Drosophila melanogaster: one gene and its partner. The protein of the gene in region 1 interacts with the protein of each later gene in a pairwise test. Each region holds a gene or a part of one and is shown in the gene's direction. Other genes may lie near its edges.

The links. The genes of interacting proteins can lie anywhere in the genome.
Region 2: the proteins of CG12729 (region 1) and CG5681 interact in a two-hybrid assay, tested with the Drosophila melanogaster proteins (one large-scale study listed by BioGRID).

The regions. Positions count from the first base shown.
Region 1 is NC_004354.4:5,842,051-5,849,084, forward strand, and holds CG12729 (uncharacterized protein), read left to right. Parts: upstream 1-3,229; 5' UTR 3,230-3,302; coding exon 3,303-4,004; 3' UTR 4,005-4,056; downstream 4,057-7,034.
Region 2 is NT_033779.5:17,983,408-17,991,667, forward strand, and holds CG5681 (uncharacterized protein), read left to right. Parts: upstream 1-2,991; 5' UTR 2,992-3,057; intron 3,058-3,110; 5' UTR 3,111-3,120; coding exon 3,121-4,728; 3' UTR 4,729-5,212; downstream 5,213-8,260. Other genes in the region: Prosbeta5R2 (proteasome beta5 subunit-related 2), read left to right, coding at 7,092-7,931.

The DNA.
Region 1 (7,034 bases):
GTACAGTTTTTGATGCTTTTTGTTTGGCTTCAGAAACGTGGCACATAGTTTTTTCTGGTGCAGCGCGCAACGGGTTAACCGTCTGAATACTTTGAAAATTTATTACACACACATTGCAAGCGCACTTTTATTTCATTTCGGTCGATGGACGCCTTTTTATGGCCAACTCGAGGAGCGAATTAAGTGCAGCCGGCGCAGACAGGACCTTCCTGCACACACACACACACACATACACACACACACTTAAGCACACACACGACAGCCATTAGGCTGGAGATTAAATTTTTCATTTGAGCCAAAAAGGGCGCAGCCCGACCATAAAAGGATCTGTGTGTGGAGGCTGCAAAATTTCAAATTTATATCAATTGCGGTTACTCATTGACGCCTCCATGGCTGTGCGTCCCCCTCGCAGGCAAACGAGTCAAAGTTAATTGAATTTCCGCAGGTGAGGAGCTGGCTGTTCAGGTGTTTGTGCACAGACGCCGCTGCACGGGGCATTAATTATGCAGATGCCACACGAGCTGCAGGCGAACTTGATCCGGCCATCGAACCCAATCAATCTACACTGAAGATTCTGGCGCGCAAGACTTGTGATATGTGTCTTCAACATTCAACATATTGTCACAAAAGAATATCAATAAATAATGTGCCCTTGCGCCACTTAAAGTTCATCCAATTAGTATATATTTTACTCTACTTAAATTAGCTGCAGATAGTGGTATATACTTTTGTGGACGCTGCTGTTTTGCCTCGATAAGCCACGAATCGCTGACCGTTTTTGGTTAATCACTTCTCAATCGACAGCTAAAGGCAACACTTTGGGCACACAATTATCCTAATCCTTCGGTTGGCAGTCCTGCTGGCAATACCAGAGTCCCAATACAAATCCCAAACCCATTTCCATACGCAACTCGCATCTCCGCCAGCATTTCCATTCGCATGGCGAGGCGGTCGTGGAGGAAATGTAAGTGCAAAGTGGATTCCTTGACGGCTGCCTCGGGGGTTGCATCGCGTCATCGAGCTGCAGTCAAATAGCAGTAAGCTTCAACTATCCTCGTTCTGCTTTTCAGCCTCCTCGTCGTCGTGCCTGTCCTTTGCCGCCACCTCTGTCCCTGTGGGTTATTTGGGCGAGGGCAATGGCAACCGGATGCGGAACCAATTTAACGACGCCATTTCCGCGTCAGCCAGGCAACTGCAGAATCTCTGCGGCGACCATTGGCATCATGGATGTGGCATGACCCTGCCCACCTCCTTCCTCTTCCTGTCTGCCACAAAAATTCCCCTTACCATCGCTGAGTTTGTGATGTTGTTATGTTTGCCCCCACTCCCCACTCCCCCCTCCCCACATCCCTTCTACATGTTGTTGCTATTTTTGGTTGCCATTATTGATTTCCCAAATAAGTTTCGTGCCCGTCGCCGCAGTTTTAATAGCACAAACGGTTCATTAAAAATATAGCAAATTCAATTATGCTCACAGAATCATTTTTCTGCATTTTGGTTTTGCAGAATTTTAATGGAATCGCACAATATATGCAACTGAATTGTGAAAGATTTCATACATAACAGGTAAAATCTCACAATAGCTTATAAACTATAAAATAAAACTCACAACTTTCAGCAACTGAGCTACTCAATCAATTTTGACACAACATCTGAAATGCTTCTTAATTTCTATTTGTAACAAATCAAAAGGAACATTTTAAAGTATTTATTTTAAACAACTGAACTATATTATTTTTTTTAACTGCTACATTTGTGCCTGCTGTGTGCATATCAATTTATATTGCATTTTATGTAAGCCGTCAACATTTTAATCAAATAATCGAATGATTGAAAATGCTGACCATAAATTAAATTACGCACAAAGCTGAGTTCATTCTTTTGGAATTTTTCGCTGGCAACTTTTTAGTTTGTATGCCTGTGGTGCGCATATTAAACACGTCTCTCTTAATTTGTGAAATAAAATATTTAATGTTTTTCTTTGCAGATTCGAGGCATTTAACTTGTTTATTTTCCCGGAATAAATGTCTTACTGTGCGCATACGCAGGTCAAACTGAATTAAAACTGAAGGCCCCGTGGGGCTTTCAATTTTCTGTCCTATTTATTTTGAAAGAAAAACATGTCTATATTAATTTACAAAGTGTATAAAGCTATCTGTTATAGAAGCCCACACTACTCGAAATGAAAAAGTGAATTAAATTGAATTGTGAAAACACAGTTATTTTTAAAACCAGCTGATAAAATATAATTTGTGTGGCTTTTAAAGTTGACACACAACTGCATTAAGTACTTTTCAAATATCCCTTAATGCTAAAATAAATTCCGAAAAACAATCTAGCTGAACTGAGACGTTACGTTTGCCAGTAATAAATAACTTGCTTAACGCATTTGCAGGTTGAACCGCATTAAATTTGAAACCCCATCAGGATCCCCAGCCATTTCCGGTCGACCCGGCAGCAACGCGCCGTCTATTTCCGGTTGTGGATGCGATGCGCATTTATTACTCGCTTTCGCCCGATATCAGCTACCGACTTGACTTGGCCGCAATCGTTTAAGCCGTTTGAGCCAGCCGCAAGCAAACCGAGAGCAATCCCCCAAATTGCCGCCAAAGAACACTGGCATATATACACAGATATTTCGATAGAGACGTATATATACACATATATATATATATATAGATATTTATATGGAGTGGGAAGGGAGGTCCCATAACAAAGGACCTTGGCAAGCTGCTGGCATCCAATTGAATCCGGCATCAATTCAGACGACCCGGCGATGACATCCCAAACAAAAAGGGGCGGCGGAAAGTGGAAAAGCGGAAAAGCAGAAATGAAATGAATTATGTTAAGCATGCAAATTTGAATAAAAACAAACAAAAAAGTGACAAGGCAAAAAGAAACTGCAAACAGCGTAAAAAAAAAGAAAATATGAACTGAAAAATGAATGGAGAGAGAACTTAACTGGCAAGGACATGGACATGAACACAGGACTCCTGTCCTGCAAAAATCAACTGCCAATTGCAATTTGCCAGGCTGTGCGAATAAAACATTTTAACAACATTAACCACAGACACCAGGAATCGCACGAAAATAATGTGAAATGCGCATTTATATTAATGTAAAAAAAAAAGTATAAAACAATACACACTCTTTATTACTTTTAAGTCTTTAGGCTGGCGTACGAAATTAAGAATCTAGTTTCCTTTTAAATTCGCCCAAGGCTTTGTCAGAATTTTTCAAAATTGTTGTTTCTAAAAACTCGAACCTTCAACCTTTGCAAAGATGTTCACAATTTAACCACCATGGAATCGCCAGTCTGCACTTCACTGTCGACTCTCAGCGAGATGTCGCTCCAATCTCTGGGAATTGGAGTAGCTGGAAAGGGCCAAGCCATGTTGAAAAGCGAAACGGAAATCGATGCCCACGACTGGCAGTTGCTTCTCCACTCGATCCAGTCGCATATTCGCAAAAAATCCGATCTCTTGATAGCTGTCACCCACTTTCTGATCACCAAGGAGTACCGCCTGCGTTGCGCCATCAATTATTCAGCATCCGACGGAAGGCAGTTGGCTGGAGGATGTGGAACTGTGTGTGAGCAGCTGCCCGATCACTGGAATCGAGATGCCGATCGATACACTCTGAACTACACGGATGGTCTGGCCGGTCAGTATATCCTTATGGCCAAACTGAGTCGCAGGGATCTTGTGATCAGTCTGCAGAACTCGACCAGCAAACGAATGGCCATCGTCTGTCTGCAGCCGGAGCATCTCGTGAATTCCACCTGTAAGTCATCGATGGACAAGTGCATTCCGCGGCTGGACAAGTTCATAAAGAGACTGCGTGCCGAACTGGTGGATCCGGCGGTGCGGGGCACCAAAAGATTGGCCGAGATTGGACCGGCCTTTAATAGGAAAATTTGGAAAAGGGAGCTACCTGTACGAAATTCTGGCACTTCTAGAGTGGCCTTCAACATCGTCGAAAGCACCCATTCGCTGGAGTCTTAAAAGATGCAGAGCACACCATGCAATACAAACAAATATAAAATTATTAGCCTAGAATCGATATCGCATTTGGCTTATCTTACGAGTTTCTATATGTAAAACACTAGTTACTTCTACTTTTTGGTAGTAAAGAAAGAAAGAAAGATGTTTTGTGAATTGAGTAAGCAAAGCTAAGCTTATTAGATGCTTCTAGTGATTTTTTTTTTTTGCAATTTTTCGCATTTTCGGTAAGGGGTAACATCATCAAAATTTGCAAAAAATGGCTGAAAAATGGAATTCCCATTTTTGAACACAGTTCGATTGGGAATTTAAATACGAACTCAACGTGATATGACATTCCGTATTCAGACAATTATTTTTAAAGTTGTGGCCAAAAAACTGATTACTTTATGACGGATAATTAAATAATTATTTTAAATGAACAAAAAAAAAGTTAAAATATAGAGCAAAAGCTTAAAAGAGAGCATTGTAATATACTTTAAGCCCGCTGTTAAATTTTCCCAGATGCACATTACTCATACGCAATGTTGCATTTGGAAATGCAATTAAACGAATATAGTGAAATATTTATTTTCAGCTATAATCACTATTATTTTTGTGCACCTATTACATTCCTTTTGGGATCAGAGAATTGGTCAGTCGATATCCCTATGCATTTCATGATTGCGGTTGCTCGTTTTCGGTTGTGCTACCATTTTCGTCCTGCCACGAATTGTTGTCATTATTATGGTTGCTCCTCCGCGCTTTGTCCGCATTTATTATTTATTGTATTAATAATGCAGTCGCGTTGAAAATTTCATAATGTCCGGCGATGTCATTGAGTCAGCATTCGTGCCGCAGTCTCCTCTTATTTTTTACATTTGTTGTGTTTCAATTTTTGTTGCATATCTGCGGATGTATTATTGGATGTTGACAGTTTTGTTGTTGATGCAGCTGTGGTTGCGGCAAACTTGACGTTGATGGCCGCTTTGGTTCGGTTCGGTTTGGCTGGCTGGCTGGCTGGCTGAAACCAGAGGTACCGCAAAAAGAAAAACAATGCCAAAACCACCTCCGTTTTATGCAGTGAAATTAAAACCACTGCGTAATGGAATATGAATATCAAATTCAGACTCAGTGGCTAGCAAAGTGTTTCACCTCCAGTTGGATGGTTTTTTTTTGTCGAAGACCCAAACGATAGATACTGTAATGGAATGCCATTCGGTATAAGCTCGTTGATTAGGGTGGACCCGACTCTTTAAATGTTGCGGCATTTGTGGCAGAGACCATAATTTAAATAAATCATTTGTTTTGGTTTATAACAATTTAACCAAAATTTGTGTGTTGTTCGCCTTGTTTTCAATACAGTTGCATTAACAGTTAAGTGCTGTAATTTATTTCAACCATTACGCCCTGGGTTCATGCCATTGTGCGTCTGTGTGAGTGTTGCAGCATCATCATAAAATTCAATTAAACCGAAACGCACACAATCAAACAAAAGATCAAATTAAATGCCGGCTAGCAATTTACTTCGTTGATGTAAGGGGGCGGGGCAGCTAACCCACAGCAAAGCACATGTGTCGGTTGGGCTGGGTTTTCAATGTGTGTGTTGTGTGTACACAGCGAGAAATTTCGAATAACTCAGCTGATAGCTACGAAGCTACAACACTGCTAGCTGAAAAGTTTGTTCCTACTTAAAACATTACGTTGTAACTACAATAAACATTTCAAACACATTTTCTTTCAGTGTGCCCCTTCTACGTCTGTATGTATGCGTGTGGCATAGACAACGGCACGCATTGCGGTTTAACGCGCTTTTCATTACTTGGCGGGGATGAAGACGGCTGAATGGCTGCCAAAGGAACATCAAAGGCGGTGGCCACACAGACGTGAAAGGACATGGCAGCTGAACAGGAACAAGGACAACTTGCTGTGGTATTTTTACGACCATTTCAGTTTCGAAACGGCAATCGAAAAGCTTGTACAACCACACACACACACACACACACACACACAAGGCTATATGGGCGAATGTGGCTGTGCACCGAATATCATATAAAAGTCATTGGGACTTAGTTAAGCCAGCGATATTAACAAATGCCTTGCCATGAGGCTGCCAAGAAAGGCAAAGCAAAAAAAAAAAAAGAAAACCGGCATAGGGAGGATAATAAACCACGTCGGCCACAAAGGCCATAGAGCGACACTAAAATCCACATGTCACAGTGGACATTAGCGGCAGACCGGAAAACCAAAAAAGGGGAATTTTCCGCCGACATGAAACTGCAGAAAGAATGATCAATTTAAATATATATATTAAGATTATATTTACGTACCAATTAACCACCATATAGTTGCATGCATAGAGCAGAATTCAAATGGCATGCAATCAATTTTGATTTTGCCAAAGAGCTGCATGCCTTTAATCAATAAGTTGGCCAACTAAATGCAATCCATCCATCAGCAGCGCCAATCAGCCGGCCAACGGTTGACCACAATCCAGTGGCCAGTGGCCAGTGGCCAGTTATATGGCCATCTCGCGTCCAGCTAACCGAGGTGATAGCGCCAATGACACGGATTTTCACTTTATGTGCCCACCAGGGCACAGATCCAACGACCTCGCTTAACCCTCCAAAGACCCAATGGCGCCATCCTGCGTGCAGGCAATTACAAAGTTTTGGGCGCTGCATTTAATTAGCTACGGCAGCAATCGCGGCCATCAGGCATCAGCGTTTGTTATAGTCGCTCGACAATGTACCAAACTAATAGCTGACCGCTCCGGGCGACTTATCACAGAGGGGGGGTGGGGGGGTAAGGGGATTTGAGCGGGGCGGAGGGGGCCAAGGGTAATGGGGCACGGGCCCAACGAGCCGCTTAATTGAATGCCCCTGGCGCAAAGTGAAAAAAAAAGCGCAGCAAAAGCAGACTAAAAAACAAGCAAACTGTATCTCTAGTTTTCAACAACGACTTTTAAATGAGCTTTAGTTTAATTGAATGTTTAATTTTTAGTTCAAAATTGTTGTACTTTTCAAGCAAGCTCAATGTATAAATACTTTGTAA
Region 2 (8,260 bases), on another chromosome or scaffold:
TGCAGAGGCAAGTAAGCAATATTTTATTACTTTGTATTATGGGTGTTACTTTTGATAATATTTCTGTTAAAGCATTTTTAAAAATTGCACCATTGTTTAATAGTCTAATCTCGATTGTATATCAATTTATTAAACATTCAATTGTCGGCCATTTATTTTCTTTATCCTCTTTTCTACTTGGGCCAAAGTTCTATAGATTCTAATCGCATTTTCGGTGAGCTGGGGATCCAAGTTGGGCCTAAACTTTTCGAATTGGTGCACAACTTAGTTAGGCCAACTAACTCCGTAAACTATGAGCTAGGCTACCGCACATCCCAGGCGAAGGCATAACCTGCTCAGTGCCGAAGGGATGTTCCACGCAAATTTAATAACCGATGCAGTCTGGGTGGTTTGGGTGCTACTCCGGATACCGGGTGGTTCTCAGGAAAAGCCAAGCATCAAGCGCTTAAGCTGTCTGCATGTGTTTGAAGCTGAAAGCGCCGAAATGTTTGCCAGCTTCTTCCTTTCATCATTCCCTTCACTTTTTCGACTCTCTTTTCTTTGGAAGTAAACTTAGTTTCAGGGAAAAGTGCATGAAAACCCTATTTTTCTGTTCAGAATAGTACTCCTTTTTGTGGAAATCCCATGCTGTTACATTTGTCAACACTTGAAATTCTGTTACAGAATTCAGTATTTAAGCAACTGTATGATTCGTTTGTCTTTTAACATTACATTTCCATTTAATAAGATAATTTTCTTTTCTTTAACGTTATATTTCTATTTCTATATAATGAAAGACTAACTTTAGGTATGAGGAGTGGTTAAGATCATTCCGAATTTATGATCTGCAGATCGTTTGAGCTTAAGCTACATATAAGAAATCACAGAACAAGCCCTTTAATTGGACATTTCATTGAATGGGAACGACTATTGCATGATAAATACCCAAAAGTGGGCACTAAATTTACCCAATGCTGATTTCGGCTCGTGTCTTTGGGTTGATTTAACCTAATAGTCGTGATGGTTTCTGGCTGATGGCGATTTATGGTCTTGAGGGATTTTTATGCGGCTCCCAGGGTTGCCAACTACTCGCTCTACTGTATTCGATAATATTTTATGTGTTTCTGTTTTTTTATTGCCTGCGATTACGAGACAGTTTTCTTTTCGGGACTTGGCACAAATCTACTGACAAAGACAATGGAGGAATTTCCTTTGGCGGATGTGGCAATTTAAGTGCTGGTTTGGCCAGGAATTTATGGTTTATGGATTTTGTCAAATTACAAGTTATTCTAGCCATCCTTTGCGAGCAACCTTTTGTCTATAGACTGTCAACACATTGTAGGCTTTTGCATTCGAGCGAGTAAGGAAATGGGAAGAATGCCTAGCATGTGCTTGTGTTTCTTGAGGCTCTTTGCATTGAAATTGCTCTCTGATGTTCCATACATTGTTTATTTGTTTACTTGCCTTATTTTATTGTTTGCTACCATAAAAGCATATCAATGTGCAAATTTTTATCGCCTAGCAGCTGGGCAACCATAAAGTGGAAATTATATCGAAGATTATGATTGTTATGGGCCCTACAACATCGAATTTATGAATGTCCAACGTAATAAATAAATATAAATTGAAAGCAGGAGAACGTGTATCTGTTGGTGGTAGGCAAATTGCCAATAAAAAGGCGTTAGCTTTTGATACTTGTGGAGAATTATACGGTGTTTCAAATTATGGTGAGTGTTTTGAATGACTCAAAATGTTCTGTCTTGCCAAAACTCAAAAATCAATCACAAAATACTTGCCATAAGATTGAATTAATCCATCTTAAACTTTCTGATTTCCGAGTTTTCCATTTTCAAAAACTTTCGGTTAATTGCACAAATGGCAAGCAATAGATATTTGAGCATTTGAGCTGATTTCCAAATACGTCGCCCCCAAACAATTCCAAATCCAATGGAAAATAAACCGGAAAGAGAATTGGAAACTAATTGGGGTGGAGTGGAGTTCGATGTTTTTGAAAAGAAATCAGGTAAAATTGCCAAGTGATTGTTTATGTTTGTGGGTGCTTGTGCGTCTGTAAACAATGAATATGCATGACTTGCCATGAACAGCCACACATGCAACAACAGAAATCGAGAAACAGGAAAGGCAACTTCAATTTGCGAAAGTGATATTCTGGTCGGAAGAAAAAAGGAGCAAAATGCCAGCGAGCATTAGAAAGAGATGGCTGGCACACTTCTTGATTGACATGCATAACGTTGATTAATTAATGCCGTCGATATGCCGATGACAGATGCTGTATTTCCTCCGCTCGAGCGGAAATAGAACTAAGTCGAGTTTCCTGGCTCTACTATCTTCGGCAGGAAAGTGAAGAGCGGCTTAACCCGTTTCATTTGCGAGATGTTTGCCATTCAGTTTACACAAATGAGAGTTTTTCGATTGAGGAATGCATTTCGAGTCCTTGCATCTTCACGAGGGTCTTCAGCCGTATAATCCGGCAATTAGTAAATGTCAAATTCCATGCTCTCATTGAAAGTCAAAATTTACAGCCTGCGAATCGCAGTTATATATTATCGGGCGGTCCAAGGAGACGGCCCCTGTAAATATGCAACGGAAATGGCAGCTACGCATGTGATTATGTTTCCTCTGTCTCCGAAGAGCGCATATATGTGCAGGAAGATGTTAACATTCATGTGCTACATACAAACTCGCCTGTAAGCGAGGCTAAGTCCTTGGCTTGATTAAAAGCCTTGTTCTGGCGATGAATTGTTGCCGCATACTTTGGAGCGTTCTTGTGGAACATACCTCGTATTTAAAGGTGGGCAAACTATCAAGTTTCTGATACCGTGGTGGAGATGTTAAAGTTCAGAAGTTTTTCACAAGTTGTCTATTGGAATTCATACGTGATGATAAGTTTGTATACTTATCGATAAGTGTTAAGTAGGCCTTTTTCCAAATTTCAAACATATACAAAAAAAAAAAAACAAACAGATAAGCATTTGAGTTGTACGTTTAACAAGCAAGTTGAAGTGCTCAGTCAAGATTTATAGCCTATCAGAACATATTTAATTCGAGAAAAAAAAGGTATATTTGGTAAGAAATATCAATACCAATGAATTTTAAAGTGTATTTTACAGCCAGAATAAGATGAATCTAACCTTGAAATCAGAAAAGGAGTCAAGTGCTAGCACTGCAGATAAAGTCTCGAAGCTCTACAGCGAGATAGCAAATATGAAAAGGGACTATGATGACTGGGCGAAAATTATGGAAAAGAGCCACTTAAAAGAACAAAACGAGATTAAGCTTTGGGAAAGGGCTATTGAAAAAGTTAAAGAAACGGTGAAAGACAACAGTGCCGAGACAACTTTTGATGTCAGGAATGACGAAAATGATATTTTTTTGACTATCGCGTACACGCCCACCCAATCAAAGTGCATAGAAATAAAAAACAGCGGCCACCTGATGAGCTTCACATTGCCCGACGCCTTGGAGTGGATTCAGATGAATATTGCAGGTCTAAAAGGATCAATAAAGAAAATCGTCCTTGATCAGTATTATGTGAATTCTCAACAAGAAATACTTCTCTGGACGCAAAAATATTTGAACAAAAAGGAAACAGCACTACCTCAAATCGCAATAGGAACTGAGGGACAGACCGAAATGAATGGTAATATGGTAAAGGCACGTGAAGGCCTTGCGGAACTTGTGAATCATAGCGAACCGGACTTAAATGCATTTATGCTGAAAGCAGAAGAGGACAGTGCTTTAATAAAAAACTTGACAGATGAAGTTCTTGATATGCTAAGTAAGCTTATAAGCTTTAATTCTGAAGTCTTGACAGATACAATAGTTGATGGTATTAGAAAAGAAATCGATGAGCTCTTGGAAAGACTTGGAGAAGGAAACAATACAGCTGAGACAGCCAAATACCCAACCAGCAACCAAAGAACTGGGAATTCTCCGAAAATGATCGCTCCTACTAAACATATTTCGAAAAATAAATACCACACTAAACATAACATCAAAGGTATGGAAAACGAATTGCCTACACTAGATACAAACAAAAAAGAACCGATGATGGTCGATTTGATGGATATAAGAAAGATTAAAGTCAAACTGATTGAATATAAAGCAAATGAAACCGGTGGCACTAAAAATGGATTAGCTGAAAAACAATCGAACCTTAGCAAATTAAGTGACATTCACCTAGCTGACAAATTTCCAGATCAAGTTAACTCGATCGAAAGTATTACAAATAAAATCGAATCGAATGCAAATGATAGCAATGAAATTAACCATAGGCAGGATTATTCCCTTCATATAAATTTTTTTATAAATTCTGCACAAAAGGTAACCATTTCTAGTATTGATTTAGAGAGAAAAGAAAACACTGTAGCAGCTGAAGATGAAACATCTGGAACACAACCTATTAAAATCAGTACAGAAAATGAATCAGGTGGCCATAAACTCAATTCAGAGCAAAATTCCAATAGCATTAAACGTCGATTCCAATTTCCGAAAGATTTACATGGGACCCAATCATTAGAGTTTGATTTAAAGGAATGTCTAGATCAATACACGAGTGGAGGTATGAAAGCTGCACCAGAAAAAATGATGAAACATAATGAATCCTCTGAACGGATGTCCAAGTCAAAATGTGAAAATGACTTGGTTTCCTGTCCTCCTTTTAAGAATATTTCATTTGACTTCAACGAAAACAAAGGAAAGATGAGAAACATTTTAGGACCATGTTGATCTGAGCGCAAGTCATTAAAAAAAAAAACTCCATTTATTAAAAATAATATGAAAACTAATCATGGTGCAGGGGATACAATTATAAAAGATAATCCCGACGCTTTACCAGACTATACATTTGGAAACACTGTGAATGAGAAAAACTGTACAGAAAGCCCACCAAAGAGTATTTCTAAAAATGAAAATAGTAGTACCATTAAAATAGAAATTGAGTCCGGGACAGAAAAAAAAATCCTGTACTTCGGATACACCTTTAGCGATGATTACAATCCACGTGTGCCATGATGTTACAAATTTCGATAATTCTTTTGATTTATCTGCGACTGATGATATGAAATCTATAATAACCAAAAACAAAACCTCGGGGCAAAATATGAAATAATATAATGACCATTCCGTTACGGAAGTAGAAATCAATATGCTTATATTCTTTATAAATTTATAATTTTGTACAATCCCCATAATGATGCTTTTATAATATTGTAAATTATAACACTAATATTTCTTAAAATTCGTTATACATAGATTATTTTAGAAGATTAATATTATTAAACGTTATATTTTTCTTTTGGATGAAATGAATATTATGAAAACTACCAAATATTCAATATATGCGTCACAACAAATAATTCTTCAATAAATATAATTTAAAAAAATTATATTTTCCAAGTGTTTTACCTAATTGATTGAATTTGTTTGTATTTCTTCTGCTGCCACATGCTGAGAAAGAATAGGTCCTTCTCTCCAAGTCCAAAATGTCACCGTCCCAAATGAATAATTAAACATAATTAGCTCTCATTAAACAGGGTACTTCCCCCGGAGCTGGCCAAAACCGAATACAAAACGCAGCTTCGACACACACGGTTGGCCAGCTGAGGGGCATTCTGGCCAAATCAAAGCGAATCAGCCCAGTTCGGTGAGGTCGGGGTCCGAAGTGGGATGTTGTGACCCCAATAAGTCAACTGCAATACATAAATTTCGACACAGCAGCCGGCTTGGATCAGGTGGGCAGTCCCAAACCCAAATACAAACCCAATTCGGAGGACTAGACCAAGTGTTTGCCATTTCGACTTTGGCAAATAAACCAGAGAATCGCTGAGGAAGGGGATAAACGGTGCGGAGCATTGCTGTGTTTAAGGAATTCCTGATTGACAATGTGGTCTTCATAGGGGTCCACCCACTTTTGTCGCCATTGCCGTTGGTCAAGAGCAAATTTGGCAATACAACAAAACGCCTTTAACCTTTGACAGGCCGCACACATTTGAGCACACAGTTGAGCGTTTTGTGGTCCTACGGTCAGGTCGAACATTAAAATTGATTACCCCAACAATTTGGTTAATGGATGACTCTGGGATTTTCGAGGTCTCAGGAGTTTTAAAAAAAATTAAGTTTCATAAGATACGAAGATACGATTTGTTGGAAACTGGTGGCATAACAAACAAAATCATTTTTTAAAAACAACAAAGACCTCTTTACTTTCATTTATTTTTCGATTATTTCGATTAATTAATATCTGGTCCATTGATATACTTTTATATGCTTATTATGTTATACATCCACTTTCCTTATCCACTACACTAGAAAGGGAAACATCTCACTGAAATCAATATGCCCTCTGCAAGGGTATAAAAATCAACCATATTTTCAGTATAAATATTTATATTGATATTTTCCTATTACGTCATGTTTACATTTAATGAGTATAAATTTAATTCCTACCTTAAGATTTAATATGTTCTTACATTTGGTGACGTTTCCTCTTCAACGCCGAATATCTCATAATCCGCATTGGCAGCCATTTAACATATGTTTAAGCCATGAAAATTAATATAAACGACAATTTCCGCATCGCCTCAAGCGTTTATATATAACCGCCGTCAAATGCTAATCGTGTAATCCTTTTTAAATGATTGCACATACAAACGGATATTAATATCATAAACAATTCACACATCCAACTACACAACATTCACACGCCGTGTAATTCTGTTTATTGCTTGAGGTTATTTAATATTCAATTTTCGGCTTCCATTTCTTGGTCATATCCTGGGAACCTCATAAAATGCGAAAACTCATAAAACCCATGGCTAACATATTTTTAATCTGCACATGGGTAAATGCTGCCAAAACCGACCGAAAAAAATACAATCTAGCAGCATGAATTTATCACGAGAATATTGTAAATACAAAATTGTTGGCGTGCTTTTTATTGAGTTCCGCTTAGGTGGTGGCGCAAATATATTGCTGGATATTTTTTTTAAACTTCATAGGTGCCAGGAAAGATCAGTCAGATATAAAAGATTTCAACATACTTAAAGTATAACCAACAACATTTAAACTTCAAATATAACCATTTGTACAACATGGCCCTGGAAAGTATTTGTGGTATGGATAAGCTGCCATTTATGAAGAGCTTTGGATATCGCACCTCGAAGCAGACAATTGAAGAAATCAGAGTCGCATCGAGTAACATGGATAATCCCCTCGCCATAATGGCTCCGCCATATGAAAATCCACGGGAAAGTGTGAAAAAACTGAATGCGCTAAGTGAAGTGCAGATAGATTTTGACCACGGAACCACCACGGTGGGTTTTGTTTACCAAGGTGGCATCATTTTGTGTGTGGATTCCAGAGCCACGTCGGGAAAGTTAATTGGATCTCAGAGCATACATAAGGTCGTACAGGTCAACCAGTACATAATGGGTACCACTGCAGGTGGTGCAGCGGATTGCACATACTGGGATCGAGCTTTGACCAGGGAGTGCCGACTGCACGAGCTCCGCTATAAGGAGCGACTTCCAGTCCAATCTGCTGCCAAATATATCTCCAACGTGGCTGCGGAATACAAGGGAATGGGTCTCTGCATGGGAATGATGCTGGCCGGTTGGTCGCCCGAAGGACCCAGTTTGGTATACGTGGACTCCAACGGCCTGCGGATCCATGGAAAGCTTTTCGCCGTGGGCAGTGGAGCCCCCAATGCCCTGGGAATTTTGGACTCTGACTACCGGTTGGATCTCAGTGATAACGAGGCCTACGACCTGGCCTTCCTTGCAGTATATCATGCTACCATGACAGATATCTTTTCAGGCGGTGTGGTGAGACTATATCACATGGATCAAGGAAACTGGAGGAATGTGGCCAATAAAGACTGCCAGGAACTGCATGAACAGTACTCAGGTGTGGGAAATCAACAAACTCCCTAAGTTCTGCACTTCATTTGGTTAGAGCGTTAAAGGTTTGTACTACGTTATCCATTTTCCGAATGAGTGAGTGACGGGAAACGAAAACACCACTTTTAGAACAAACATCTGCGTTTTACCAAATTAAGACCATCAAATAAATGCTGTTGACTTATTTATTTTCTAATTTGCGTACACGTTTTTAATTAGTGCGCCTTTTGTTTACTTAAATTTTCACTCAATTTTAACGCGCTTGAAAAACTCCAACCCTTACGACCATGAAAATTGCTAGTCGCTAATCATTTTGCGCTAAATTAAGTGCCCTAATGGAATGTTTAGATTTTTTCAACTTT